Linked DNA regions of Macaca mulatta. The protein of the gene in region 1 interacts with the protein of each later gene in a pairwise test. Links are inferred from orthologs where the notes say so. Each region holds a gene or a part of one and is shown on either strand. Other genes may lie near its edges. The genes, in order: GSK3B and BCL2L12.

Evidence for each region.
Region 2: the proteins of GSK3B (region 1) and BCL2L12 interact in a two-hybrid assay, tested with the Homo sapiens proteins (2 studies listed by BioGRID and IntAct). The link is inferred for Macaca mulatta from reciprocal best matches to the Homo sapiens genes GSK3B and BCL2L12.

What each region holds. Positions count from the first base shown.
Region 1 is NC_133407.1:163,717,366-163,732,392, forward strand, and holds part of GSK3B (glycogen synthase kinase-3 beta), read left to right. Parts: intron 1-9,767; coding exon 9,768-9,961; intron 9,962-15,027. UniProt on the Homo sapiens protein: Constitutively active protein kinase that acts as a negative regulator in the hormonal control of glucose homeostasis, Wnt signaling and regulation of transcription factors and microtubules, by phosphorylating and inactivating glycogen synthase (GYS1 or GYS2), EIF2B, CTNNB1/beta-catenin, APC, AXIN1, DPYSL2/CRMP2, JUN, NFATC1/NFATC, MAPT/TAU and MACF1.
Region 2 is NC_133424.1:62,110,357-62,126,041, forward strand, and holds the start of BCL2L12 (bcl-2-like protein 12), read left to right. Parts: upstream 1-8,607; 5' UTR 8,608-8,742; intron 8,743-8,839; exon of another isoform or gene 8,840-8,959; intron 8,960-9,352; 5' UTR 9,353-9,360; coding exon 9,361-9,467; intron 9,468-9,677; coding exon 9,678-9,820; intron 9,821-10,941; coding exon 10,942-11,028; intron 11,029-11,110; coding exon 11,111-11,202; coding exon of another isoform or gene 11,203-11,251; intron 11,252-12,932; coding exon 12,933-13,205; intron 13,206-15,685. Other genes in the region: SCAF1 (splicing factor, arginine/serine-rich 19), read left to right, coding at 183-374; IRF3 (interferon regulatory factor 3), read right to left, coding at 1,629-1,814, 3,209-3,324, 4,783-5,160, 5,257-5,437, 6,002-6,072, 6,157-6,328, 7,254-7,505.

The DNA.
Region 1 (15,027 bases):
CTGACCCATGGCGCTACTAATATTCATGCTAAGTCATACCCCATATTGGCCTGCCATTCTTTTCAGCTCTGCTATTTCAGATCTCTGATAGAACAGTCTGAAGAATGTGATAATTTCTGAATAAAAATTCTGGGATACTTGAAGTCTATAATAAAGACTGAAGACCCATTGTTCCTAGTACCTAGATAGTACATATTGGTGGAGAATATTGTCTGTAATAATTCTTAGCAATTTCTCTAACTGTTTTAGACAGAATAAAGTAAATCTTTTAATTACTACTAAGATAGTAAGTACTTTATTGTCTCTAGATGTACAAAAGTGTGAAAGATTGGTCCTTGTCCACATCAAATCTCAGCTTAAAATTAAGAGGCCCTAAGAATCTCTTTCAGCTATATCTGTAGGACCTGTTTTACCTTTCCACTCTGCTTTTAATATTTTAGCAGAATTGTCTCATTTGATGCTTGTTCCCATTTGCAAATTATGATGCTGGGATAGACATTCCTAGGCTCAGTGGCTGGAGTGAAGAGATGCTAAATCCCAGGGTTCTAATGGATATCTTTCATAGCTAGTTCTGAAACCCTTGAAATGTGACCTCTTTTAGAAAGAAGTAGAACCTGTGGAGGCAAATGGGGAAAGTCATCACAAATGCTTCTATTGCTTAAGTTCTCTTACTAGAGCAAGGAAGTGCAAAGGTGGGGCTCCTGTTTCCTTTATTGAAATATGGTTATGCAGTAGAAAAACATAATTTTTGGTTGGACCCCAGACAGTTTTTGTTTTCCGTTTTTCAGTTAATTAAAATTGTGGAGTATAGTGGGCTTTTTGTGGTGGTGGTGTTAGAGATGGTCTTGCTGTGTCGCCCAGGCTGGAGTACAGTTGCATGATCTCAGCTTGCTACAGCCTCTGCCTCCTGGGTTCAAGGGATTCTTGTGCCTCAGCCTCCCTTGTAGCTGGGATTACAGGTGTGCATCACTGTGCTTGGCTAATTTTTGTATTTTTAGTAGAGATGGTGTTTTGCCATGTTGGCCAGGCGGTTCCTGAACTGCTGGCGTTGAGTGATCTGCCCGCCTCGGCCTCTCAAAGTGCTGGGATTACAGGTGTGAGCTACCATGCCTGGCTATTTATTTATTTATTTATTTAGAGACAGGGTCTCGCTTTGTCACCCAGGCCTGAATGCAGTGGTGCAGTCTTGGTTCACTGCAGCCTCGATCTCCCGGGCTCAAGGGATCCTCCCACTTTAGCCTCCTGAGTAGCTGGGACTACAGTGCCACCATACTCGGCCACTGTTCTTAAAATCTATGTTAGTTTATTAATGATCCTTGTTTTGTAAGTTAGACGTGAGATTTTGCAAGCAGCTTGTTTAGTGGAATTTTAAATTCAGAGTCCTTGAAATCTTTTTTTGGTGTTATGGTTTTGACTTGGATAATATAGGGAAGAGTCAGACTAGGTTTGAAATAACGTATGCTTTTTATCTTCTCTTGAGACAATTGGATTATAAAAATGTGTTCAATACCTTGGATTTTAACCTTTCTGGATCTCTTCATTTAGAGTTGAAGTTCAAAAGACTGATTCTGTTTTTAGGACTGCTAAGATACAGGTAAAGAAAATTTATTTTACAAATGAGGGAGAGAATAACTTATGGTAAGGTTTATGGTCAACTTGAAAAGTTGTAGTTAAGATTAGCATAGATTTTTTGGGGGTGGGGCATGATCATTTAGAACTCAGATTAGATTAAACTAGGTTTTCAGCAAATATACCTAAGATTTATTTTACTGAGGGGTGAGACTTGAAGGCAGAGTTTGAAAGCTTTGAAAACTGCTTTTTTGTATTGGCTTATGCTGGGATTTGTATGCATTTAAAGCATATATAATACTGCTGTAAATAAAAATGGTGGTGCTGACAAGATTTGAGTTATTTCTTTTCACAAGTGGTTTTGAATTTGGGGTGATTAAATCATGCCAGTTTGAGTGTTTTACCTTGGACCTAAAGACAGATGTTCAAGATAGCTGACCATGATAAATATAGACTGCCTGTATCTCACCGGGCTGTCTTATGAAGGAATCCTCATTGCTTTTGAATCTGTCATGAATGCCATCTTTTATTATTATTATTATTATACTTTAAGTTCTGGGTTACATGTGCAGAACGTGCAGTTTTGTTACATAGGTATACACGTGCCATAGTGGTTTGCTCACCCATCAACCCATCATCTACGTTAGGTATTTCTCCTAATGTTATGCCTCCCCTGGATGCCCATCCGCCACAGACCCTGGTGTATGATGTTCCCCTCCCTGTGTCCATGTGTTCTCATTGTTCAACTCCCACTTACGAGTGAGAACATGTGGTGGATGGTTTTCTGAGCTTGTGATAGTTTGCTGAGAATGATGGAATGATGGTTTCCAGCTTCATCCATGTCCCTGCAAAGGACATGAACTCATCCTTTTTTATGGCTGCATAGTATTCCATGATGTGTATGTGCCACATTTTCTTAATCCAGTCTATCATTGATGGACATTTGGGTTGGCTCCAAGTCTTTGCTGTTGTGGATAATGCTGCAATAAACGTTGTGCATGTGTCTTCATAGTAGAGTGATTTATAATCCTTTGGGTTATGCCGAGTAATGGGATTGCTGGGTCAAATGGTATATCTAGTTCTAGATCCTTGAGGAATCGCTACACTGTCTTCCACAATGGTTGAACTAATTTACACTCCCAACAGTGTAAAAGCATTCCTATTTTCCCGCAACCTCTCCAGCATCTGTTGTTTCCTGTTTAATGATCGCCATTCTAACTGGCATAAGATGGTATCTCATTGTGGTTTTGATTTGCATTTCTCTAATAACCAGTGATGATGAGCATTTTTTCATATGCTTGTTGGCTGCATAAATGTCTTTTTTTGAGAAGTGTCTGTTCATATCCTTTGCCCATTTTTTGATGGGGTTGTTTGCTTTTTTCTTGTGAATTTGTTTAAGTTCTTTGTAGATTCGGGATATTAGCCCTTTGTCAGATGGACAGATTGCAAAAATTTTCTCCCATTCTGTAGGTTGCCTGTTCACTCTGATGATAGTTTCTTTTGCTGTGAAGAAGCTCTTTAGTTTAATTAGATCCTATTTGTCAATTTTGGCTTTTGTTGCCATTGCTTTTGGTGTTTTAGACATAAAGTCTTTGCCCATGCCTGTGTCCTGAATGGTATTGCCCAGGTTTTCTTCTAGGATTTTTATGGACCTCGGTCTTATGTTTAAGTCTTTGATCAGTCTTGAGTTGATTTTTCTATAAGGTGTAAGGAAGGGGTCCAGTTTCATTTTTCTGCATATGGCTAGCCAGTTTTCCCAGCACCATTTATTAAATAGGGAATCTTTTCCCCATTGCCTGTGTGTGTCAGATTTGTTAAAGATCAGATGGTGGTAGATGTGTGGTGTTACTTCTGAGGCCGCCGTTCTGTTCCATTGGTCTATATCTCTGTTTTGGTACCAGTACCATGCTGTTTTGGTTACTGTAGCCTTGTAGTAAAGTTTGAAGTCAGGTTGCATAATGCCTCCAGCTTTGTTCTTCTTGCCCAGGATTGTCTTGGCTATGCAGGCTCTTTTTTGTTTCCATATGAAGTTTAAAGTAGTTTTTTCCAATTCTGTGAAGAAAGTCAGTGGTAGCTTGATGGGGATAGCATTGAATCTATAAATTACTTTGGGCAGTAAGGCCATTTTCACATTATTGGTTCTTATCCATGAGCATGGAATGTTTTTCCATTTGTTTGTGTCCTCTTTTATTTCGTTGAGCAGTGGTTTGTAGTTCTTCTTGAAGAGGTCCTTCACATCCCTTGTAAGTTGGATTCCTAGATATTTTATTCTCTTTGAAGCAGTTGTGAGTGGGAGTTCACTCATGATTTGGCTGTTTGTCTGTTATTGGTGTCTAGGAATGCTTGTGATTTTTGCACGTTGATTTTGTATCCTGAGACTTTGCTGAAGTTGCTTATCCCCTTAAGGACTTTTTGGCCTGAGACGTCAAACAGAGACACTTTGACTTCCTCTCCTCCTGTTTGAATACCATTTATTGCTTTTTCTTGCCTGATTGCCCTGGCCAGAACTTCCAATACTATGTTGAATAGGAGTGATGAGAGAGGGCATCCTTGTCTTGTGTCGGTTTTCAAAGGGAACGCTTTCAGCTTTTGCCCATTCAGTGTGATATTGGCTGTGGGTTTGTCATAAATAGCTCTTGTTATGTTGAGATACGTTCCATCGATACCAAGTTTATTGAGAGGTTTTAGCATGAAAGTCTGTTGAATTTTGTTGAATGCCTTTTCTGCATCTATGGAGATAATCGTGTTTTTTGTGTCGGTTCTGCTTATGTGATGGATTATGTTTATTGATTTGTGTATGTTGAACCAGCCTGTCATTCCAGGGATGAAGCCAACTTGATCGTGATGGATAAGCTTTTTGATGTGCTGCTGGATTCGATTTGCCGGTATTTTATTGAGGATTTTCGCATCAGTGTTCATCAGGGATATTGGTCTAAAATTCTCTTATTTTTTGTTGTGTCTCTGCCAGGTATCATTTGGTATCAGGATGATGCCGACCTCATAAAATGAGTTAGGGAGGATTCCCCTTTTTTCTATTGATCGGAATAGTTTCAGAAGGAATGATACCAGCTCCTCTTTGTACCTCTGGTAGAATTCAGCCGTGAATTTGTCTGGTCCTGGACTTTTTTTGTTGGTAGGCTATTAATTATTGCCTCAATTTCAGAGCCTGTTATTGGTCTATCCAGAGGTTCAACTTCCTGGTTTAGTCTTGGGAGGGTGTATTCTCCAGGTATTTATCCATTTCTTCTAGATTTTCTAGTTTATTTGCGTAGAGGTGTTTATAGTATTCTCTGATGGTATTTTGTATTTCTGTGTGATCGGTGGTGATATCCCGTTTGTCATTTTTTATTGCATCTATTTGATTCTTCTCTCATTTCTTCTTTATTAGTTTTGCTAGTGGTCTATCTATTTTGTTGATCTTTTCAAAAAATCAGCCTCTGGATTCATTGATTTTTTTTTTGTTTTGAGGTTTTTTTGTGTCTCTGTCTCCTTCACTTCTGCTTGGATCTTATTTATATCTTGTCTTCTGTTAGCTTTTGAATTTGTTTGCTCTTGCTTGTCTAGTTCTTTTAATTGTGATGTTAGGATGTTGATTTTAGATCTCTCCTGCTTTCTCTTGTGGGCATTTAGTGCTCTAACTTTCCCTCTAAACACTGCTTTAAATGTGTTCCAGAGATTCTGGTATGTTGTGTCTTTGTTCTCATTGGTTTCAAATAACTTATTTCTTTTTGCCTTAATTTTGTTACTTACCAAGTAGGCATTCAGGAGCAGGTTGTTCAGTTTCCATGCAGTTGTGTGGTTTTGAGTGAGATTCTTAATCCTGAGTTCTAATTTGATAGCACTGTGGTCTGAGAGACAGTTTGTTGTGATTTCTGTTCTTTTACATTTGCTGAGGAGTGTTTTACTTCCAGTTATGTGGTCAGTTTTAGAATAAGTGCGATGTGGTGCTGAGAAGAATGTATATTCTGTTGACTTGGGGTGTAGAGTTCTGTAGGTGTCTATTAGGTCTGCTTGGTCCAGAGCCGAGTTCAAGTTCTGAGTATCCTTGTTAATTTTCTGTCTCTTTGATCTGTCTAATATTGATAGTGGGGTATTAAAGTCTCCCATTAGTATTGTGTGGGAGTCTTAAGTCTCTTTGTAGGTGTCCGAGGACTTGCTTTTTATAAATCTGGGTGCTCCTGTATTGGGTGCGTATATATTTAGGTTAGCTCTTCTTGTTGAACTGATCACTTTACCATTGTGTAATGGCCTTCTTTGTCTCTTTTGATCTTTGTTGGTTTAAAGTTTTTTTTTTTATCAGAGACCGGGATTTTTTTTTTTTTGCTTTCCATTTGCTTGGTAGATCTTCCTCCATCCCTTTATTTTGAGCCTGTGTATGTCTTTGTACATGAGATGGGTCTCCTGAATACAGCACACTGATGGATCTTGACTGTTCATCCAGTTTGCCAGTCTGTGTCTTTTAATTTTGGCATTTAGCCCATTTACATTTAGGGTTAATGTTGTTATGTGTGAATTTGATCCTGTCATGATGCTAGCTGGTTATTTCACCCATTAATTGATGCAGTTTCTTCTTAGCATTGATGGTCTTTATAATTTGGCATGTTTTTGCAGTGGCTGGTACCAGTTGTTCCTATCCATGGTTAGTGCTTCCTTCAGGAGCTCTTGTAAGGCAGGCCTGGTGGTGACAAAATCCTAGCATTTGCTTGTCTATAAAGGATTTTATTTCTCCTTCACTTATGAAGCTTAGTTTGACTGGATATGGAATTCTGGGTTGAAAATTCTTTTCTTTAAGAATGTTGAATGTTTTCCCCCACTCTCTTCTGGCTTGTGGGGTTTCTGCCGATGGATCCGCTGTTAGTCTGATGGCCTTCCCTTTGTGGGTAACCCAACCTTTCTCTCTGGCTGCCCTTAACATTTTTTCCTTCATTTCCACCTTGGTGTATCTGACAGTTATGTGTCTTGGGGTTGCCCTTCTCGAGGAGTATCTTTATGGTGTTCTCTGTATTTCCTGAATTTGAATGTTGGCCTGCCTTGCTACGTTGGGGAAGTTCTCACGGTTAATATCCTTAGGAGTGGTTTCTAACTTGGTTCCATTCTCCCCATCACTTTCAGGTACACCATTCAAACGTAGATTTGGTCTTTTCACATAGTGCCATATTTCTTGGAGGCTTTGTTCATTTCTTTTCACTCTTTTTTCTCTAATCTTGTCTTCTCACTTTATTTCATTAATTTGATCTTCAATCACTGATATCCTTTCTTCTGCTTGATTGAATCGGGTATTGAAGCTTGTATGTGCTTCACCAAGTTCTTGTACTATGGTTTTCAGCTCCATCAGGTCATTTAAGCTCTTCTCTACATTGTTTATTCTAGTTAGCCATTTGTCTAATCTTTTTTCAGGGTTTTTAGCTTCCTTGCAATGGGTTAGAACATACTTCTTTAGCTCGGAGAAATTTTTTGTTATTACTGACCTTCTGAAGCCTACTTCTGTCAGCTTGTCAAACTCATTCTGTGTCCAGTTTTGTTCCCTTGTTGGCGAGTAGTTGTGTTTCTTTGGAGGAGAAGAGGTGTTATGGTTTTTGGAATTTTCAGCCTTTCTGCTGTGTCCCCATCTTTGTGGTTTTGTCTACCTTTGGCCTTTGATGTTGGTGACCTACAGATGGGGTTTTGGTGTGGATGTCCTTTGAGTTGATGTTGATGCTATTCCTTTATGTTTGTTAGTTTTCCTTCTAACAGTCAGGTCCCTCAGCTGCACGTCTGTTGGAGTTTGCTAGAGGTCCACTCCAGACCCTGTTTGCTTGGGTATCACCAGCAGAGGCTGCAGAATAGCAAATATTGCAGAACAGCAAATATTGCTGCCTGATCTTCCTCTGGAAGTTTCGTCCCAGAGGGACAGCTGCCTGTATGAAGTGTCTGTCGGCCCCTACTGTGAGGTGTCTCCCAGTTAGGTTACACGGGGGTCAGGGACCCACTTGTAGAGGCAGTCTGTCTGTTCTCAGAGCTCAAACGCTGTGCTGGGAGAACCACTGCTCTCTTCAGAGCTGTCAGATAGGGACGTTTATGTCTGCAGAAGCTGTCTGCTGCCTTTTGTTCAGCTATGCCTTGCCCCCAGAGGTGGAATGTAAAAGAAGCAGTAGGCCTTGCTGAGCTACGGTGGGTTCTGCCCAGTTTGAGCTTCCCTGCTGCTTTGTTTACACTGTGAGCATAGAACTGCCTACTCAAGCCTTAGCAATGGCAGACGCCCCTCCCCCCACCAAGCTCCTGCATTTTAGGTTGATCTCAGACTGCTGCCCTGGCAGTGAGCAAGGCTATGTGGGTGTGGGACCCGCCGAGTCAGGCATGGGAGGGGATCTCGTGGTCTGCTGGTTGCGAAGAACATGGGAAAAGCACAGTATTTGGGCAGGAGTGTATCACTCCTCCAGGTACAGTCACTCATGCTTTCCCTTGGGTAGGAAAAGGAAATCCCCTGATTTCTTGCGCTTTCTGGGAGAGGCGACGCCCTGCCCTGCTTCGGCTCGCCCTCCGTGGGGTGCACCCACTGTCCAACCAGTCCCAGTGAAATGAACCATGTACCTAAGGTGGAAATGTAGAAATCACCTGTCTTCTGCATCGATCTTCCTGAGAGTTGTAGACCAGAGCTATTCGGCCATCTTGGAAGCAACCATAAATGCCATCTTGCAAACGAAGGTGTTAATTGGTCGCAGACATTCACTGGCTTTTGTGTATATTAATACTTCTGTGAATTTAAATGGATATAAATATTGGTTATAATATCTTATTAGTGCATTTGGATATTCATTTATCTAGCAATTTATATTTCACAGAGAAAAATACTCATAAATATTATATTACTTTTATTAGGTTAGTTGGAATTCAGTTAGTATTTTAAAATGAAAATTGTCATAATGGAAGAATAACAGGAAAAAGTAAAAGTCCAATAAGTGAGCCTGAGGACTTATATTGTACTGAGAATTGGTTTTAGATTTGTCAGGGAAGAGAGAAGAAATAGTAGACATTTTTGTGTACATTGAAGTCACTAAAAGAACAATGTAAAGCTCTTTTAGATCAGATACTAGGTAGCATAATTCAGAGAATCGATTAAGAATTCAGAAAACAACATGGTGACTGTGGACTGTGCCTGGTCAAGTAGGAGGTGGCTCTTGTGCCTCAATTGAAGAAAGCCTTTGAATTGCTACTAGGGATGAGAGAAGGCAAAAAAGGGAAGAAGAGAGCTATGAGTAAATAGAGACCCTGGAGCCAGTAATCTGCTTGTAATTGGGCCTCAGTTCAGAATGGATTGGATTATTTAAGTTTTATATCTGTTAACCCCAAATTAACATTCTTTTCTTAACCTGAGCTTTCTCTGAGAGGTCTTCTACTTTGTGAAAAAGATTATTCAGGGAACTTAAAACTCAAAGCCTTACTTTCCTAAACGCAGAAGGATCTGAAGAGAGTCAGAATTATTAAACATTTTTATTTGCACACATTTTATTTTCAAGTAAAATAAGATCTTGAGAAAAGCCCTAAGACCTTTTAGAATTGGATGGATAAGGTCAGACTTTTATGGGCTCACAATTTGCTATTTGACCATGGGCAAATCTAACATTCTTCCTATTACCTATAATGTGGGAACAGTACTGTCTACCTCATAGGATTGAAACTAAGCATTGTGTTTGGTCTGTGGAATGACTAAATACATGGGAGTTTAAAAAATGACTTATAATCAAAACAAGTAATTGAAGTAATTACATGTGATAAACGAAAAATAATTTGTAGTAAAGAATATGGTTTATTTTGGCCAGGCACGGTGGCTGATGCCTATAATCCCAGCACTTTGGAGGCCAAGGAGGGTGGATCACCTGAGGTCAGAAGTTCAAGACCAGCCTGGCCAACATGGTGAAACCGCGTCTCTGCTAAAATTACAAAAATTAGCCAGACGTGGTGGCAGGTGCCTGTAATCCCAGCTACTCGGGAGGTTGAGGCAGGAGAATTGCTTGAATCTGGGAGGCAGAGGTTGCAGTGAGCCGAGATTGTGCCACTGTACTTCAGCCTGAGTGACAAGAGTGAGACTCCATCTCAAAAATAAAGAAAGAAAAAAAGAAAGAAAGAATTTAGTTTACCTTGTATATGTTGGCAATTTTCTCTATTTAATTCCTTATAGTTCTCATTAAAAAAAATTTTTTTTTCCTTTCTTCCGTTAGGAGACAAGGATGGCAGCAAGGTGACCACAGTGGTAGCAACTCCTGGGCAGGGTCCAGACAGGCCACAAGAAGTCAGCTATACAGACACTAAAGTGATTGGAAATGGATCATTTGGTGTGGTGTATCAAGCCAAACTTTGTGATTCAGGAGAACTGGTCGCCATCAAGAAAGTATTGCAGGACAAGAGATTTAAGGTAAAACGTCTGGTATTTCATGTGTTTTGTTGCTGTCATAATACATGTACCATAAATGATTATTTTTTGGTTGTTTCCTTTTGCTTCAAATTTCTTCTATTGTGCACATTTTTGTCCAGCTCAAGCATTACAATGATTTTATTTCTAGTCGTGTATTTTGTAGAGAGAAAATTCACTGAAGATTGCAGTATTACTTTTGTAGTCATTATAAATGACATATATATATAAATCCTGTGAAAGGTAAGTTAAAGTTTCTTAATTTATACTTTAAAAAGCGACCTGTCCCCACCCTTGTACTGTGTTGATGTAGACCAGAGGAACACTGCCTGTAGCATATAAGTATTTTGTGTAGTTTCCTATGCTTCCTTTCTTGAAAAAAATTTTTTTAATTCATGATGCAACTTGTGTTAGTCTATTTTTGCATCTCTATAAAGGAATACCTGATGTTGAGTAATTTATAAAGAAAAGAGGTTTAATTGGCTCACAGTTCTGCAAGCTGTACAGAAAGTGTGGTGCAGACATCTGCTTCTAATAATTGTCTCAGGAAGCTTCTAATCACGGGCAGAAGGTGAAGGGCGAGTAGGTGCATCACATGGTGAGAGCTGAGCCAGAGCATGAAGGGGGAGATCCAGACTTTATTATTATTTTTATTGTTGTTATTATTTTGTAGAAACAGGGTTTTGCCATGTTGTCCAAGCTAATCTCAATCTCCTGAGCTCAGGCAATTTGCCTGTCTCAGCCTCCCAAAGTGCTGGGATTACAGGCATGAGCCACCATGCCCGTCCCCAGACTCTCTTAAATAACCAGATCTCCTGTGAACTGAGTGGAAACTCACTCATCAACAAGGGGATGGTGCTAACCCATTCATAAGGGGTTGACCCCCTTGATCCAATACCTCCCACCGGGCTCTACCTCCAACACTGGAGATTACATGTCAACATGTGGTTTGGAAAGGGGTAAACATCCAAACCATGTTACAACACTATTCATTTTTCTTGTAACTTTTTTTTTTTTTTTGCTATCTTCCTTTTTCTTGTCCTTCTGCCTCTAGACACTAGCAATCCCAAGGTTCAGTTCTTGTCATCTCTTTTCTTTTTCTGTACCTCATTAGGGGAGCCTATGCATGGAAGCTCAGATGTTATCTCTATGTTGTGGTATAGCAGAGAGAGCCAGAAGACACTGGCTGCTGTAATTAAGCCTCTGCCACTATGCAGCATTGCTCCCTTTCCTACCCTTCCCACCTCTGCAACATTTTATTGAGAGCTTCCTATGTGCTAAGACCTATGGTAAACATGAAGGCATATAATAATAATAAGTGATCACTGTTCTGTTCTAACACCAGTTATACCACATTCTGATGTCCATCTGCTGTAAATGTCTAGAACGTTCTAAAGAGTTTTAAAAAATTCAGTTGTTTTTGTTTTCAGTTCTCACCTCTCCCCCAAGTACTAGTCTTATGTTGTCAAATGCCCACTGGATCTTGATATCTGAATGTTGTACTGCTATCTCAGTTTGGCAAGCCATCTTATCTAACCACGGCTTAACTTTTAAGACTCAATGGAAATCTCTCCTACTGGTTCCCAGAACTTTGGATTTGCTTTTTCTTTTTAATGGTTTTATAATTCACTGTTATTCAGACTATTCTATTCGCTCATCCCTAATATCCAGTCATTGTTTAACTTGATTTTCTTTTTTCCTCATACTGTCTTGTGGCTGTGTCTCTTCTTTTTCTTTCTCTTCACTACTATTCTTGTCAGACCCTGTCATTATTTGGCTTAACCACTTATAAACGTCTACCTTAGTCTTCTCCTTTCTAATCTCTTCTGCATACTAAGACTAGAATAATCCCAGAGGTTTCACTGGTCATGTTGTTTCTCTTGCCCATAAATCTTCTATGGCTCTTCATAGTCTAGAAAGTAAAACCTGCCTAGTTTACTTGTGTACTCAGAAACTTCCATAGTCTTCCATTTTCTCCAGATACTTAACTTCCAAACTTTTTATATTATTGGCCTTGAAATATGTTCTTCTCTATGACCACTCTGCTTTTATTCAGCGTTTCTATCACTCCCATTCTCCTGCTATGTAAATTCTGTGCATCTGTGAAAACTCAGGTCAAATTCTTCCTGTATGAAACTTACCAGATGATTCAAGTCAGCTACGGAGATCTTGCTGTTCTAAATTCCTTGAGCCCTTATTGTCCATAAACTAGGAAATTCCACATTTTTTATGACAGCATCTCTATTTTTTAAATATTTGTCTCCTAAATACCCACACATTCCATTTTGGGGGATTAGTAGTTGATGATAGCAAATACTTGCTTATTATATGTATTTTTTGACATGTGTAGTTTTACATAATTCTTACCATTAGTACTGTGTGATTGATACTGTTATCATTTGGATAAGGAAGCCTAAGTACAAAGAAATTTTAAATTAACTTGTCCAGGGTCACACAGTTGGCAAGTGGACGGATGGGCAAAGATTCGAATCTGGACAGACTCTGCAGTGCCTTAACACATTTTATCCTCACTGTATCAAACCCCTCTACCCCTTCTCTCTTTCTCTCACAGTATTAATCCTCTTTCTATATCATAGTATCAGATTCTCAGTGTCATACCTCTTTCTATCAAAGTATTTAAACCACACCCTCTTTCTCCTTCTCAAGAAAGAGAGAGATTGGTTTTATTTCATTCTCTCATGGTTGCATTATATTTTATTGTGTGGATATACCCTAATTAGCCATTGTTCAATTGATAGCTATTAAAATTTTTTTTCCCTACCAAACAGGGTATATATATGCCTTATCAGAATACAGTTTATAAAAGTAGAATTCTAGGGTTGAAGAGTAGGAGAGCACTTTAAACCTTGATATAGGCTGCCTTCTAGTTAGATTTTATCCATTTAAATGTACCTTATTTGAATATGAGTAATGCCCATTTCCTGTGTAGCCTTTAGATATTAGGAGTATTTTTATGTTTTTCAATTCTGTAGGTGAAAAATTATTTTTGTTACTTTCTTTTCTGTTTTAAATTTTCTGTAGAGATGCATCTCACTACATGGCCCAGGTTGGTCTCGAGCTCCTGGCCTAAACTGGTTCTCCCTCTTGGCTTCCTAAAGTGGTGGGATTATGGTCTGAATCACCATGCCTGGCCCTGAAAAATTTTTTTAATTTACAACATCATTTTTCATGTTGTGACTCTTTTTACCCCCTTTTAGAGTGTGTGTCTTCCTTACTCATTTGTTAAAACCCATTTAAAATGTAATAGTGTAGAGCAACAAAGATTTTATTATCTCAGTGCTTCTGTGCGTTGGAAATTCAGGCATGGCTTAGCTAGGAACCTCTGGCCCAGGGCCTCTCACCAGACGGTAATCCAGGCATCAGCCAGGGCTGCAGTCTCATCTGAAGGTTTGTTTGAAGGAGGAAATATCTGTCCCCAAGTGTACTGTGTGATCGTCGGCAGACTTTGGTCCCTTGCCACACGGGCCTGTTCACTGGGCTTTCTGAGGTCTTGCCAGTTAGCTTCCCACATGGCAAGGGATCCACTGGAAAAATAGTAAGCCCAAGACAGAAACCAAAAGTTTTTTTCTAACCTAATATTGGTGAGGTGATTAGACAAGGGTGTGAATACCAGGAGGCAGGTATCATTTAGGGCCATCCTAGAAGCTGCCTCCACAATAATATGAACCATCTGTGAGAAAAAATTATTTGTTTGTGTTGACTTTGCTTGTGATACCTTTTGCTTTTCAGATATTGTTGATTTGGGCTTTGGCATAATGCTGAGAAAGGGCCTGTTGTATCTGATAAATAATGTCATTTTTCTCTAGGAATTTTATTTTGCCATATTTCTTTAATCTTTCTGGGGTTATATTTTGGGATGTAGTATAAAGTAGTAATATAAGTTAACCTTTCCCCAAGTAGTAGGTCATTTGTCTCAGAAACCATTTTTATAAAGTTTATCCTTTTCCCACTGGTGGGCAAATGGCATTTTAAAAACCATGTATTATGTTACCGTATATACACTGGATTTTCTTCTGGGTTTCCTTTTCTTTTCCACTGATTTGTCCATTTTGGCTTATGTAACACTTCTCTGATGATGAGAACTAACAGCGTAGTTTGAGTGTTAACAAATGAGTATTTCTCTTAATAAATCTGTGTATCAAGTATCATTAGCCTGTGATGTTTCTCCTGCAACCTCAACAAAACAAAAACAAACTTTAGATTTGATTAAAATCGTGTAAAATTTACAGATTAGTTGGACAGAATGTACAGATTTACAATATTCAGCCTTCCCATCCAGAAATGTGATAATTCTCTGCATTAATCCAATTTTTGATGTAAAACTTTATAATTATGTAGGTTTTAAACTTTTCTTACTTATTTTATCTAGTTATGTGTAGTAATTTTTTTGTCGCTCTTGGGAATGGGAGTCTTTCTCCATGCAAATACATCTTATATGTAAGTACAAGTCTTCCTCCATGTAAATACGTCTTGTTTTAACCATTTGAACACTGCCTCCTCCGTTTGTTTTGAACTTGGGCATCTTCTAGATGCATTTAATGTGCTGATGCCCTTTAGGAGGGTACTTTACTATGTTGCTTTTCTCAATATTATTACATGTTCATTATAATTTTCTTCCAGCCTGGGGGACAGAGGGAGACTCCATCTCAAAAAAAAATAAAAATAAATAAATTATTTCTGGCTTAGGCCGGGCATGGTGTCTCATGCCTGTAATCCCAGCACTTTGGGAGGCCCAGGCGGGTGGATCACAGTGTCAGGAGATCAAGACCATCCTGGCCAACATGGTGAAACCTTGTCTCTACTAAAAAATACAAAAATTAGCTGGGCATGGTGGCTGAGGCAGGAGAATCACTTGAACCTGGGAAGCGGAGGTTGCAGTGAGCTGAGATCACACCACTGCACTCCAGCCTGGTAACAGAGCGAGACTCCGTCTCAAAAAAAAAAAAAAAAAAATTATATATATATATATATATATATATATATATAAAATTTCAGGCTTAACATTGCCATTACTATAAATAATTTCCTTTTATCCAGATTTCCTTTTA
Region 2 (15,685 bases), on another chromosome or scaffold:
CTCAAGGCCACCTGGGCTTGTTCCGCTGGCCCTGGGGTACCCATCATCTAGGGGGACAGAGGAACTTTGGCCTGGTTATTGGGGAAGCTGCTCCTACCCCAGTCCCAAGCTGCACCCAGCAGTCCCGGGTGGATGGGACCCCGGGAGCCTGGTGGTGACTCCGGCTGTCCCCGGCCCCCCAGATCTGCCACAGCAAAAGTGGGGAGATCAACCCGGTGAAGGTGAGCAACCTGGTGCGGGCCTACGTCCAGCGCTACCGCTACTTCCGCAAGCACGGTCGCAAGCCAGGGGACCCCCCAGGGCCCCCACGGCCGCCCAAGGAGCCAGGGCCCCCGGACAAGGGTGGCCCGGGCCTGCCCCTGCCCCCTCTCTGAGAGCCCTGGCCAGCTCTTCGCCCCTCGCCTCTTTGAAATTCTGGACATATTTATGGCTCCACCTCCCCACCTCCCTCCCCCATCAGTGGGATGATTGGGGGAGGGTTGCTGCAGGGAAGAGGAGAGAGCCCCCTGCCCTTCCCTGCCCCGTGCCCACCCGCCTTGCCCCCAAGCCTGTCCCCAGTGCCCCTCCCTTCTGTTCGTGCCCCTCTCCCCAATTTCATTAAAGATTTCATGAAACATTACCCCTGAGCCCCATGGTTCTAACCCTTTGTTTTCAGAGACAAATTTGCCAGAGGGTTGAGGAGGGGCCCCTAGGAGGCTGAGGGTGGGAGAAAAGGGAGCCAGACTGTGACTTGGGGCAGCTGCCTCCCCTGAGCCTCAGTTTTCTCATCTGTATAGTGGTGTTGTGAGGATTGAACAAGACACCGGTGGAGCACTTAGCACAGTCTCTGGCAGGGAGCCAGCTGCTCACAGGGAGGCGGGGCCGGCCCCCACCTGATCAGCATCCTCCCAGCTCAGGGCACCTGCGTGCCATGTGCCTGCCTTGGAATTGCTCCCAGAGCAGGATCTGTGTTCCCCATTGAGTTGGCTTTTCTTTTCAGCAGCCCTGTGAAGCTGGGGTGATCTCATCCACTCTCCCGAGAGGGAAACTGAGGCACAGAGCAGCAAGGGCCGAAGGGTGAGTCAGGGCTGCACTGGCTTCTGCCAGTTTCATCACCCAGAACTGAGGCCTAGCCAGGAGAGGTGACAGTGCCCAGGGTCACCAGGCAGGCAGGCTTTGCAGGCTCTAGGGTGGCTGCAGAGCCTCTTTACCAAGGCCCCCTCCAGCCCCATGTAGAGGGAGCCTGAGCCTGGAAGGAGAAGGGCCGTTTGCCCACACTGTTCATAGGCAAGGCAGGGACCTGGGTTCTGGCCAGTCTTTGTGTTTCCTACCCTGTGACCTTTGTGCCTCTCCCAGCCTGTGTCTTGGTCTACAAAATGGGGGCAGCCATCAGCCACCAGGTCCCTGGGCAGAGGTGAGGAAGTGTCAGCTGCCCCCTGCAGTGCTTGGTCCTCATGCATTGAGCACCTGAGTTGTGCATAGCTGCACAGATGGGTAAACTGAGACCCTGAGCAGGAATAACAACCAGCTTGGGTCAGAGGACACCCAACACCAGACACACACAAGAGGTGATCATAGCAGGAACCAGTTTATTGGTTGAGGTGGTGGGGGGTGGGGAGGTTAGAGGCCACACCATGAGGAGCGAGGGCTCAGGTCTCCCCAGGGCCCTGGAAATCCATATCCTCCACCAGGTCCTGCAGGTAGGCCTTGTACTGGTCAGAGGTGAGGGACAGTGGGTGGCTGTTGGAAATGTGCAGGTCCACAGTGTTCTCCAGGGAGGAGGCACCCCCTACCCGGGCGATTTCTACCAAGGCCCTGAGGCACGTGGGCACAACCTGCGGGGGAAGTGGGGACAGGAGTCAGGGAAAACACCCGGCCAGTGTCCACCAAGGTAGGAGTCAGGGCTGGGAGAACTACAAGTCCCTGCAGCCCCCGCTGTAACCCAGGATGAAACACACACACACACACACACACACACCCACCCACCCACCCACCCACCCCCTTACCCCCTTCCTGGGACAGGAGTCAGGGAAAACACCCGGCCAGTGTCCACCAAGGTAGGAGTCAGGGCTGGGAGAACTACAAGTCCCTGCAGCCCCCGCTGTAACCCAGGATGAAACACACACACACACACAGGGCTGGGAGAACTACAAGTCCCTGCAGCCCCCGCTGTAACCCAGGATGAAACACACACACACACACACACACAGGGCTGGGAGAACTACAACTCCCTGCAGCCCCCGCTGTAACCCAGGATGAAACACACACACACACACACACACACACACACACACACACACACACACACACACAGGGCTGGGAGAACTACAACTCCCTGCAGCCCCCGCTGTAACCCAGGATGAAACACACACACACACACACACACACACACACACACTCTACAACTTCCTGCAGCCTCTGCTGTAACCCAGGATGAAACACACACACACACACACACACACACACACACACACACACACACACACAACTTCCTGCAGCCTCTGCTATAACCCAGGATGAACCATAGGCCCAGGGCTGCTGGGAGTTGTAGATTTCCCTCTACACACACACACACACACACACACACACACACACACTCATATGAGGCTAGAGTATTCCCAGATGTCAGGGCTGAGCAGTCTGTGATCTCAACTCGTGGGAGCCACAGCCATGGCCTCACAATGGCAGCTAAAACTTGAAGTCCACCAGCTTCGACATGGTTTAGAGCAGGGGTCCCCAACCCCCCACGGCCTGTTAGGAATCAGGTTGCCCAGCAGGATGTGAGCAGCGGGTGAGGGAATATTACTGCCTGAGCTCTGCCTGCTGTCAGATCAGCGGCAACATTAGATTCTCAGAGGAGCACGAACTCATCGTGAACTGCACACGCGAGGGATCTAGGCTGCTCCTTAGGAGAATCTAATGCCTGATGATCTGCAGTGGAGCAGTTTCATCCCCAAACCACCCCCTCCCTGTCTGTGGAAAAATTATCTTTCGTGAGACTGGTCCCTGGTGCCGAACAGCTTGGGGACCACTGGTTTAGAGAGTTCAAAGCAGGTTCTGCAGGTGAGGCCGTGGGAAGGAGCTCCCGGGGATGAAAAACTGGTTATTGCTGAGATCTTGGAAGTTGCAATCTTTTAGAGGGCCCTCTGGGAGTTGGAGTTCCTGGGAGCAACCTCTTCCCTCTGTAAGGCCACCCCTCTCAGCCCCAGGGACTCAGGTCTGCAGGCACCTTGACCATCACGAGCCTCTTGGTCCATGGCTGGTCCTGGGGCCATGATTCCCCCACACAGAACCAGAGGGCATAGCGTGGTGAGCGTCCACTTCCTTCTGTGAAGGTGATCAGATCTGGGGGCCCAGGAGTCTAGTCAGTGATGAGAAGAGGACCCTCTACACGCCCTTCCCCGTAAACTTGAATGGCAATCCCCACCATTTCCCCTGACCTAAGGCCCTCTGCTGCCTCGCCCAGAGGACTGCTTGTTTGGGGAAAGTCCCCATGATTCTGTTTGTATACTTCCTCCTCCTTCCCTCCCTCCCTCCCATCATGGTGGGGTTGTTGGAAGGCCCCCCACCCCCGCAAGCCCCCAAGCCTCAGCATTCACAACAGGCCCAGAGTAGGGGGCCCAGGCTTCCAAGGATGCCAGTGAATCTGGAGGAGAAGCTGGTTGGCATTCAGTCCCCTCTGAGGCCGCACTGTCCAACTGCAGCCATTAGTCATGTGAGGTCATTTCAGTTTAAATTGTAATCAATTAAAACGAATCGTAGGCCGGGCGCGGTGGCTCAAGCCTGTAATCCCAGCACTTTGGGAGGCTGAGACGGGCGGATCACGAGGTCAGGAGATCGAGACTATCCTGGCTAACACGGTGAAACCCCGTCTCTACTAAAAATACAAAAAACTAGCCGGGCGAGGTGGCGGGCGCCTGTAGTCTCAGCTACTTGGGAGGCTGAGGCGGGAGAATGGCGTGAACCCGGGAGGCGGAGCTTGCAGTGAGCTGAGATCACACCACTGCACTCCAGCCTGGGAGACACAGCGAGACTCCGTCTCAAAAAAAACAAACAAACAAAAAAAACGAATCGTGTCCTGGTGGCACTCGCCTCACCCAAGTGCTCGGCCCTTGTGGCTAGTGGCTGCTGTACCGGACAGTGCAGGTGACTGTCATTTCCATCATGGCAGAAAGTGCCACCGCACAGCGAAACCCTAAGGGACATAGCTTTCCTGCTATTGGTCTGTCCACCATCATTAGTTACGATAATGATGACAGCGGCAGCTAATTCCCCGAGCATGCTGTGTACTGGGCCTGTGTCTCACCCCAGTGCTGGCAGGCAGGTACAGAGAGGAGACCGTCCTCGGATTCCACGGGCTCAGGGCAAAGTCCTTTGCCTTGGGTTATACAGTGGGCCAAGGGCAGCCAGGGTCTGAATTCAGTCCTAATCCTGAGTTTTTGTTGTTGTTGTTTGAGACAGAGTCTGGCTCTGTCACCAGGCTAGAGTGTAGTGGTGCGATCTCGGCTCACTTTAACCTCTCCCTCCCTGGTTCAAGTGATTCTCCTGCCTCAGCCTCCCGAGTAGCTGGGATTACAGGCGTGTGCCACCATGCCCGACTATTTGTTTGTATCTTTAGTAGAGATGGGGTTTCACTATGTTGGCCAGGCTGGTCTCAAACTCCTGACCACGTCATCTGCCCGCCTCGGCCTCCCAAAGTGCTGGGACTACAGGCGTGAGCCACCGTGCCCGGCCAATCCTGAGTTCTTAACCACTGTGCAGTCTGCTTTCTACTGGGCAGGGCGAAGCCCCCATCTCACTCACCTACAATGAAGGGCCCCAGGTCGAACACGCCTCCTTCCTTGTCCTTGGGGACCTCGCCATCAGGCCCATGCCCGCTGTTGAGCAGCTCCTCGCTCACTGCCCAGTATGTGTGGCAGTGCCCCAGCCGCTGGGCCCAGAGCCGCTGCCCGGCCCGCCGCAGAGCCAGTCCCCCACCCAGGGAGCTCAGCACGTGCCTCACGTAGCTCATCACTCCCCTGTCTGTCAGGGACATGCCAGGGTCTGGCAGTGTGATTGGCCATCCAGGCAGCGTCCTGTCGCCCACTTCGGACCCCACCAGCCGCAGGCCCTCCGGGCAGGAGATGGTCTGCTGGAAGACTTGGCGGCCCCGGTAGAAGGCTGTCACCTCGAACTCCCACTCTGAGCAGTGGCAGCAGCCGTGTGAAGGGGAGAGAGATTGAGAATCAGGGGCTGCCGCCCAGACCTCAGCCCTCCCAGCCTGCAGCTGACACTCACCTTCCCCCGGCACCAACAGCCGCTTCAGTGGGTTCTCAGAGGGCTCCAGGTTTGGGAAGGGAGTGGGACTGTCCAAGCTGGGGCTCTGCAAGTGCTGAGGGGCTACAGCCAGGCTTGGGGGTCCTGGATCTGGCAGTGGGGCCAACACCATGTTACCCAGTAACTCATCCAGAATGTTTTCCTGGAGGGAAACAAAGAAAGAGAATCAGGCATTTCCATAGTCTTTTCTGGAGACTTCATATGGACCAGGTCTGTTCTCAGCAATGCAGGGAGGTCAGGCTTGAGCTCTGCCTTCAAGGGGCTTCCAGCATGGGGACAGAGCCAGCCATGGCATCAACAGCCAAACACTCTTAATGAACGCCAGGTGCTACCATTCCAACCCAAGGATCTGGCTCTATGCAGGTAAGACCTGGGCGGGGCAGGCTGGGTAGAATTTCAGAGGGGATGCTCCCCCAGCTCAGGCCTCAGCAGGATCAAGGTGAGGGAGTTTTCAGTTCCCAAGAGGCTGACAGCCCCCTGCCGAAGTCCATGAAATCCTGGGAAGGTGTGCTAGGGCCTTGAATGCAGGGTGAAAACTCGGAATTTTCTCCTGAGGAGACTGGAGCAGGAACAGACAGGGCCACCACTGGCTCAGGTAAGGGGCAGGCTGGAGGCAGGGAAGCGGGGGGATGGTCCACAGGGAGAGGACAAGGCCCATGGGGACACGACAGAGACTGAGGGGCATGAAGGTTGGGCACATTCTCACCTGGGTATCAGAAGTACTGCCTCCGCCATTGGTGTCCGGAGAGTAGTCTGGCTGGGAAAAGTCCCCAACTCCTGTTGAGAAAGGTGGTGAGGGGAGTAGGGGTGCCAGGAACCCTTGGGACCCCAGCCTCCCACATGAACCCCGATCTGGCAGACCTGAGTTCACAAACTCGTAGATCTTATGTGGGTCGTGAGGGTCCTTGCTCCGGTCCTCTGCTAAACACAACCCATCTTTGCGGTTGAGGGCAGAACGGAAATTCCTCTTCCAGGTTGGCAGGTCTGGCTTATCCCTCCCGGGAACGTACGCACCAGTGGCCTCGGCCCAGGCCTGGGGCAACAGTGGTGTCAGGATAGTGGGGGAGGACGACTTAGATCCTGCTCCTGGGGCCCTAACCCTGTCTCCTGGATCCTAACACCACCCTCTTTCCCTGGCAAGTTCTAAGTCTGCAAGTTCCATCCACAAATCCCCCCGTCCTATCTACCTCCATCCCCCACCTCGAGTTTTTAAAAGCCTTTTTTTCTTTTTGAGATGGAGTTTCACTCTTGTCACCCAGGCTGGAATGCAATGGCGCAATCTCAGCTCACTGCAACTTCCGCCTCCCTGGTTCAAGCAATTCTCCTGTCTCAGCCTCCTGAGTAGCTGGCATTACAGGCGGGCACCACCGCACCTGGCTAAGTTTTGTATTTTTAGTAGATAATTTTGTATTTTCACCAATGATTTTGTATTTTCACCATGTTGGCCAGGCTGGTCTCAAACTCCTGACCTCAGGTGATAGCCCGCCTCGGCCTCCCAAAGTGCTGGGATTACAGGTGTGAACCACGGCGCCCGGCCCAAAAAACTCTTCTTTCTAAGCCAGGCTTCCAAGTCCAACTTGGTGTCTAACCCCGTGCACCACCTGCCCCGCGACACCCTCTGTGATAACCCCGCCCCTCACACTGTTTACCACCTCTGGCATATACTAATTCAGTGGTTAGGAACCCCAGATTTGGGGCTCCAGGTCTCACCTCTGATGTTTCAAAAACCATCCCCCAGTATCTATCCTACAACCAAGAGCCCCGGCCCCTAGAGAGCCCCAAAACCCCAGGATTCATTTCCTTTGCGTACTAACCGGCTTTCCCGGTTTTATTGCCGTAACCGGGCAGCTCCAACCCTGCTTGCGTCCCACCATCAGTCAGCTGATCCGGCTAGCCCCGCCCCTCCCGTTCTAGCCCCACCCACCAACGTTGGCACGAGCCAGCCCCTCGGGCGATACCTCCGCCGTCTCAGCCCGGCCCGCTAGGAGTCCTTTCTGCCCCGCGCGCAGCTCAGGGTTTCCAGCGTCCCCGGTCGTCTCACGCACCTGGAAGATTCTGAAATCCTCCTCCTGTGCATCCTGCCGTAGGCCGTGCTTCCAAGGGATGCGGAAGCGCGTGCGGCTCTCGTTCACCCAGGCCACGCCCTCCAGTTGCCCCAGGTCCAGCTGCGACACCAGCCAGGGCAGGATCCGTGGCTTTGGGGTTCCCATGGTCCGGCCTGCGCGTATAGGGCATTTTCTGGGCGCGACCGGCCTCCCCCGGACCCACCTGGCCTGGAGTTTCCGCACCCAGAACCCTCCCTCTCACGGGCCACGGCACAGGTCCTTCACCCATATTTTCGGGGGTACAAACAGGAAACCTCCTCTTCCCATCCTCCCATCTTCCCGAGAGGCTCCTTAATCCGCTAGGGTTCCTTCCCATATCCATGGCATACCCTTCCCCAGTGTCTTCAGTGCAGACCCTCCACTCTCTCAATTCCGCCAGTATAGACCTCCTCTCTCCCCGACATCATCGAAAGCAAGTATCCCCACTTTCAGGGTAGCATCCTCTTTCCCTAGTTATTTCAGTGCAGAATCGATTCACGTGTAAGCCTCTATCTCCTGCTATTTACCCCAGTGTAGATCCCCTTCCCCAGTCCCCCTACAGAAGATCCCCCGAAACATTTCCAACACAGAACTTCCATCCAATTCCTCCTCGACTGCCAGCCCCCCTCCTCCAGGACAGAGCACGCCTCAGGTTTCGGGAGTGAACTACACCCATGTACGGAGTCCATCCTTCCCTCTGTAGAACCCCTCAGTGTAGACGCCTCCTGTTTTCCTCTTTCCTCCCTACTTTTTCTAGTTTTTCTCCAGCCGACCTCCAGCGTCGGCCACTGTAGCTCCTTCCTTGCTCCACTTTCCCCAGAGTACACAGCCTGCCTTTCCACTCTCCGTGCAGACCCATCCTGTTTCCCGCTCCTCGCTCTCGGACGCCACTAACGCTCTCCCAGGCTCTTCCGCGTTACCTACGATAGAAGCTCAGGGCGTGCAGGGAGCTGGCGCCCACCCCTGTTTTGGGGCTCCGGATAGCTCTCAAACTCGAGGCTGCGCACCCCCTTTCCCGTCAGCTGAACTCTAGACGCTGAGGCTTTCTTTTCGATCGACTTCTTGAAATAAAACCAACTTTATCATTCTTTGGGTAACACACCCCGGAGCCGAACGGACGGCCCGCGGGGCCCGGGGCTGTCCCCGCCCCTATGCCCTTTTTTGGGTTTCCGGCCAGAGGCATGCTGGGAGCGTCACATGCAAATTGAGCGTGCATCCAGCGTTCCGCCCTTTCTTCGTTGGGCCAGTTACCGACCCGGCCCAGTGCGCAGGCGCGGGAAAGTTGAACTAATAAAGTTTGTACAAGTTGAGTGGAGGCGGCGGCAGGTTGAGTGGAGGAGGCGGCGGTGAGGCCCCGGACCAGGTCAGCGGGGTGTTGACGAGGGGTGGGGTAAGGAGGGAAGAGGAGCGGGCCAGGATCCAGTAGTGGGCACCCCAGTCCCGCTTCTCCGACATCCAAGGGTCCAGGGTCCTCTAGATTCCAGCAGGAGTCGGGGATTTGGAACTACACCTCACAGCAGGCTGCGCGGCGAAGAAGCGCGGACCGAGGGGAAGATTTGCCCTGAAGCCTCCTGGGATTGGTAGTTCCCGATGCTTTAAGGGTTTCAGTAGTTTGGCATATGCCTCTTATAGAATCCAGGAGTTGGGGCGCTAAGCCCCTTCTTCCTGGGAGACCTAAGGGTCTGGGGCTCCAGTTCCTTTCTCTCTAAGACTCAGGAGTCTAGGACCCCAGCTCCCTCCTCCTTTAGACCCACGAATCTGGGCACCCAGCCCCCCCACCTTTCCTTGGATCAAAGAGTCTTTACTGACCCCTCTTTCGTCTGAGGACTCAAGAGTCTAGGCCCCTAGACCGACACTTTCCAAAGGACCCAGGAGTCCAGGCCTTCCTTGGGACTCACAAGTCCTGGTCCCCAACCAAGCCTCCACTTCTTGCTAACCCCTTGGAGTCCAGTCCCTAGTCCCCTCTCTCACAGGTGCCTCCATGGCAGGCTCTGAAGAGCTGGGGCTCCGGGAAGACACGCTGAGGGTCCTAGCTGCCTTCCTTAGGCGTGGTGAGGCTGCCGGGTCTCCTGTTCCAACTCCACTCAGGTAAGAGGAGTTGCCCTTCTCCCCCAGGGGCCAGCATTTGAGGCTCCCTCCTAACTCTTGCTCCTGGTCTCAGTCTGTCTCCTCTCTTTATATCTGGCTCTATTCTCTGTTTTGGAGAGAGGTCCTCAGCGGGGGAGGGAGGGAGTTGGGGAAAGAGCCTGCTTGCAGGGGATCTTTGGTGGGGTCACTCTCTGAAGTCCTCTTCCCCAGAAGCCCTGCCCAAGAAGAGCCAACAGACTTCCTGAGCCGCCTTCGAAGATGTCTTCCCTGCTCCCTGGGGCGAGGAGCAGCACCCCCGGAGTCCCCTCGGCCTTGCTCTCTGCCCATCCGCCCCTGCTATGGTTCAGAGCCTGGTAAGAGATTTCCATGATCGTCTATGAAACTGGCAGAACACGGGATAAGGTGCTAGTTTAAGATCACTCAGGGGGTGGCTGTGTGGAGTCTCTAGCATCAGCCTTCAGGATGGAACCATCCTGTCGTCTCCTCTCCCCAGTTAGATTTCTATCTGTCAATGCTGTGGGTTGGCTTTCAGAGAGCATTTGGTCCATCTGGTTGTCGTCTCTTTCCTTCCATAACTACTTCCCTGCCCCTAGGACTTTTGTAGCCAGGAATACCCCTGATAGAGGGGTAGGAGGGCTGGTTTTCAATTACATCTCCCTGGCTGTTTTAGTTGCGTGACTCTGGGGAAAATGCTTTCTCTTCCTTGCTCCCCTGTTTTTCCAATAGCAGAGTAGGAATTGGGGAGGAGGTCACTGGACTTGATCAAGGTGACCCACAAGTTTCCCCGTAGGTGTGAACCTGGACAGACTAGTAATGGCTGCTGCAAGTGCTAGCTTGAAAAGGAGTTCACAGCTGGGGAGAGGAAGTGTTTTGATCAATTGGTGATGTCTGAAGTGGGTGAGGGAAGGGGGATACTAACAGTAGTGTCTTGTGTTTGCCTTCCTTGGATGAGATCATCTTCGAGGTCTAGTTCAGCTCTGACAGTTTTTTGGAGACAGAGCTCTGTCACCCAGGCTGGAGTGCAGGGTTGCAATCTCGACTCATTGCAATCCCCACCTCCTGGGTTCAAGTGATTATTGTGCCTCAGCCTTCCGAGTGGCTGGGCTTGCAGATGCACTCCAGCATACCAGCTAATTTTTGTACTTTTAGTAGACACGGGGTTTCTCTATGTTGGCCAGGCTGGCCTCAAACTCCTGGCCTCAAGTGACCCTCCCGTTTCGGCCTCCAAAGTGCTGGGATTACAGACATGAGCCACCACACCCGGCCAGCTCTGACATTCTAAGTGCAGTTTGAGGATCTGATAAAATGAAAAGTACAAAGGTTTTGGCATTTTTTACCAAGTTTTCTCACTGGGACTCAGCTTACCCCATTATAAAATGGGAATCATTGCCACCTGCCACGGTAGTTGGGGGAAGGAGAGAATCCATAAGTTTCCAATGTCCTGGAAACCTGTCATTAACTCTTTTCACCCCAGGCCCAGCTACTCCAGACTTCTATGCCTTGGTGGCTCAGCGGCTGGAACAGCTGGTCCAAGAGCAACTGAAATCTCCACCTAGCCCAGGTGAGGCACGGAGGAGCCCCAGAAAAGGATGGGAGTAGGAGGATAGGGTTCTGCCCCCAGCCAAATTCTCTTCTGCCTCCAGAATTACAGGGTCCCCCACCCACAGAGAAGGAAGCCATACTGCGGAGGCTGGTGGCCCTGCTGGAGGAGGAGGCAGAAGTCATTAACCAGAAGGTGATGGGCGTCTGTCCCACCCCTTGGCAAGGACAAGAGTTGCGGAATGGTGGGGCACTGGGATCAGAAGCTGGATCTGTATTTTCTTTGGATGGTCAGGTGGAAAGAGGCTGGGACAAGGTTTCAATGAAGGGTTGAGGCTGGGCGTGGTGGCTTATGCCTGTAATCCCACCACTTTGGGAGGCCTAGGTGGGCAGATGACTTGAGGTCAGGAGATCGAGACCAGCCTGGCCAACACAGTGAAACCCCATCTCTACTAAAAATACAAAAATTAGCCAGGTGCGGTGGCACATGCCTGTAATCCCAGCTACTTGGAAGGCTGAGGTGGGAGAATCGCTTGAGCCCAGGAGGCGGAGGTTGCAGTGAGCCAAGATTGCACCACTGCACGCCAGCATGGGTGACGAAGAGAGACTTTTTTTTTTTTTTTTAATACAGAGTTTTGTTCTTGTTGCCCAGGCTGGAGTGCAATGACACAATCTCAGCTCACCGCAACCTGCGCCTCCTGGGTTCAAGCGATTCTCCTGCCTCAGCCTCCCAAGTAGCTCCCAATAGCTGGGATTACAGTCATATGCCACCACGCCTGGCTAGTTTTGTATTTTTAATAGAGACGGGGTTTCTCCATGTTGGCCAGGCTGGTCTTGAACTCCTGACCTCGGGTGATCCGCCCACCTCTGCCTCCCAAAGTGCTGGGATTACAGGCGTGAGCCACTGCGCCCGGCCGACTCTGTCTTAAAAAAAAAAGGCCGGGCGCGGTGGCTCAAGCCTGTAATCCCAGCACTTTGGGAGGCCGAGACGGGCGGATCACGAGGTCAGGAGATCGAGACCATCCTGGCTAACACAATGAAACCCCGTCTCCACTAAAAATACAAAAAAATTAGCCGGGCGTGGTGGCGGCGCCTGTAGTCCCAGCTACTCGGGAGGCTGAGGCAGGAGAATGGCGGGAACCCGGGAGGCGGAGCTTGCAGTGAGCCGAGATCGCGCCACTGCACTCCAGCCTGGGCGACAGAGCGAGACTCCGCCTCAAAAAAAAAAAAAAAAAAAAAAAAAAAAAGAATGGTTGAACGACAGGAGTATGGTTAGGGTAGTACTGTACTGTAAATTAGTGGTTTTAATTGATTGTTAGAGGGGTGTGGCCTAAATTCAGAAGATGTGGCCATCAAAAACATCTAGAAGAGATTGACCAGGTTGGGGAAGTAAGGGAATGAATGTGGGGATGGGGGAGTGTCTAAAATCTTACTGAGCATAGAAGGGGCCTGGCTTACAATGTAGGGGAAAATGTACTAACAGAGGAGCCCTGGCTTGTGGCTGTGTCCTGGAATCTGATTGGCTCAGGAGCTTGGGCAAGGCACATGGTCCTCTAATACTGATTGAATGGTAGAGGGCAAGATTGTTGTAGACACTAGGCCCCTGGGAAAGGCTACCGGGGGTGTGGCTAGATTAACTCCATTACAATAGAGATTGGGCCTGATTGGCTCTTGAGGCAAGGGCAGGGGCGTGGCTTAGCGACAGGCGTTCTAGGCCCGTATCCCGAGGGTGGGGGTAGTTTGGCAGAGACCTTAGAGTCCGGCTTGATTGGCTAATATGGATGAGGGGTGGCCTAGAACTTTAGCGTCTAGAAAGATCCTGAACCGGGAAGTCACGCCTCCCAGCCCCCCCCCCCCCCCCCCCCCGCCCCGTTGGTTGGCCCCAGGGGCGCTGCTGACGCAGACCCTGCCTTTTCCACCCTACAGCTGGCCTCGGACCCCGTCCTGCGCAGCAAGCTGGTGCGCCTGTCCTCCGGCTCTTTCGCCCGCCTGGTGGAGCTGTTTTGTAGCCGGGAGGACAACTCTCACCCAAGCCGAGCATGCCCCGGGCCGCCGCCTCCTTCCCCGGAGCCCCTGGCCCGCCTGGCCCTGGCCATGGAGCTGAGCCGGCGCGTGGCCGGGCTGGGGGGCACCCTGGCCGGACTCAGCGTGGAGCACGTGCACAGCTTCACGCCCTGGATCCAGGCCCACGGGGGCTGGGTGAGCCGTTGAAGCCTCTCTCTGCGGGCCTCATTTTACCCAACTGTCTTGTGATAGAGGTTCTTAGGTTCCCCTCAGACCTCAGGTATTCTCCCAGCTCCACTGCGTTCGTTCTGTGTTGAGCCCTTGCTGTATGCCAGGACTGCAGTGATGAGTGCGGATGCTATGCCTGGCGTCAGCGACTGGGTACACTAATACTGTGAGCGTGAAACCAGTGACTGAGATTACTCAGGGAGAGGCAGGGCGAGGTGGCTCATGCCTGTAATCCCAGAACTTTTGGAGGCCGAGGCAGGAGAATCATTTGAGGCCAGGAGTTCAAGACCAGCCTGGACAACATAGTAAGACCCCCATCTCTACAAAAATTGAAAGTAATTAGCCAGGGTCAGGTGTGGTGGCTCACGCCTGTAATCCCAGCACTTTGGGAGGCCGAAGCAGGTGGATCACCTGAGGTCAGGAGTTTGAGACCAGCCTGGCCAGTGTGGTGAAACCCCGTCTCTACTAAAAAAGTACATAAATTAGCCGGGCTTTGTGGCAGGTCTCTGTAATCCCAGCTACTCGGGAGATTGAGGCATGAGAATCGCTTGAACCTGGGAGGCAGAGATTGCAGTGAGCTGAGATCACGCCACTGCACTCCAGCCTGGGTGACAGAGTGAGACTGTTGTCTCAACAAAATAATAAAAACTGGGTGTGGTGGCTCACGCCTGTAATCCCAGCACTTTGGGAGGCTGAGGTGGGTGGATCACTCGAGGTCAGGAGTTTGAGACCAGCCTGACCATGGTGACAGTCTGTACTACAAATACAAAATTGGCCAGGCGTGCTGGTGCACACCTGTAATCCCAGCTACTTGGGAGGCTGAGGCAGGAGAATTGCTTGAACCTGGGAGGCAGAGGTGGTAGTGAGCCGAGATTGTGCCATTGCACTCTCCAGCCTGGGCAACTGTCTCTCAACTCTTGAGACAGAGCGGAACTCTGTCTCAAAAAATAAATAAAAATTAAAAAAATTAATAATAAATTAGCAAGGTGTGGGAGCTCACACATTTACTCCCAGCTACTCAGGAGGCAGAGGAGCCAGGAGGATCACTTGAGCCCAGGAGTTCAAGGTTGTGGTGAGCTATGATTGCGCCACTGTACTCTAGTGTGGGTGACACAGTGAGACCCTGCCTCAAAAAATAAAGTAGGGACAGTAGTCATGCTACCTCAGAGGGTCACTCTGAGGGTTAAAATGGGGTCAATCTGGTAAGCTGTCTGTGCACTGCCTGGCATGCGGGCATTTGTTGATGTGGTTTTATGTGTCTACTCGCTGCCGTTCCAACAACGCCTGCCAGGATGCCCTCCCGGGGAAGCCCCGCCTCCGTCCTCTGCCCCTTCTGGTGGGGTCTGGTTTCACCCCCAACAAGGCCTTCCCAGGTCCCCATTGACTATCACAGCCACCTCCACACCCCCCCACCACCCTCCTTCCCGCTTCCTGCTCTACTTTTCCTTCCATAGCAATTTGCGCCTTCTAACAGCTGGTGGAATTGACTTGTTTTGCTTATCTTCTGGTTTATTTTTCTTTCCTGGCATCTCCTGCCTCTAACACATCAGCTTCAGAAGACCCAAAAGTCTTCCCCGCTCTTACTTTATCTCCAGTGCCGGTTTCAGAGTTGGATTGGGCTCCAGCATACTGGCCCTGTGACTTGGTGACTGTTGCAGTCTCCCTGAGTGACACTTTCCCCCCGGTCCAGTGAGCACCGTCTCATTTACCTGCCTCGGGGGTCGCTGTGGGTATTCACCGAGAGAGGGACACAAGCCAGGCTCTGGATGGAACCGGTTTCCCTGGCAGGAGCTGGTCAAGTGTGTTTGAGGAGCAGGGAGGAGGAGGCCAGTAGGGCTGGAGCAGGGTGAGTGGGCGAGAGCTGAGAGGAGGAGAGGCGCTGGGCCAGCCGGGACCCTGTGGTCACGGTGAGTGACAACTGGGACTTTGACTCCGGGTAAGCCAAGGACTCTGAGCAGCCTAGATAGTCGCTGATTTAGGCGTTAACGGGTGCCCTCTGGCGGCCAACTAGAGACAGACTGCTATCAGACCCAAGTCAGGGGCAGTGGAGCATGCTGGATTTAACTTAGCGGTGGAGCTGACAGATTTGGCTAATGGGCCAGATGTGGGGACAGGCCAAAGGATGCTGGCCTAAGCAGCTGCAGGGCGACATCTAAGTTCCCTGAGAAGATGGGGGACAGATGGGGGCTATGGGGGTGGGGACAGGGGCGATGGGGGTGAGGAGCAGGACTGGAGATGGTCCAGTCTATAGTAAGATCAGAACACATCGCACATGTTGAGGGGACTGGATATAAGTGTTGGGCTCAGCAAAGAAGCTCATTTATTTTATTTTATTTTATTTTTTTTTTTTTGAGACGGAGTCTCGCTCTGCCGCCCAGGCTGGAGTGCAGTGGCCGGATCTCAGCTCACTGCAAGCTCCGCCTCCCGGGTTCACGCCATTCTCCTGC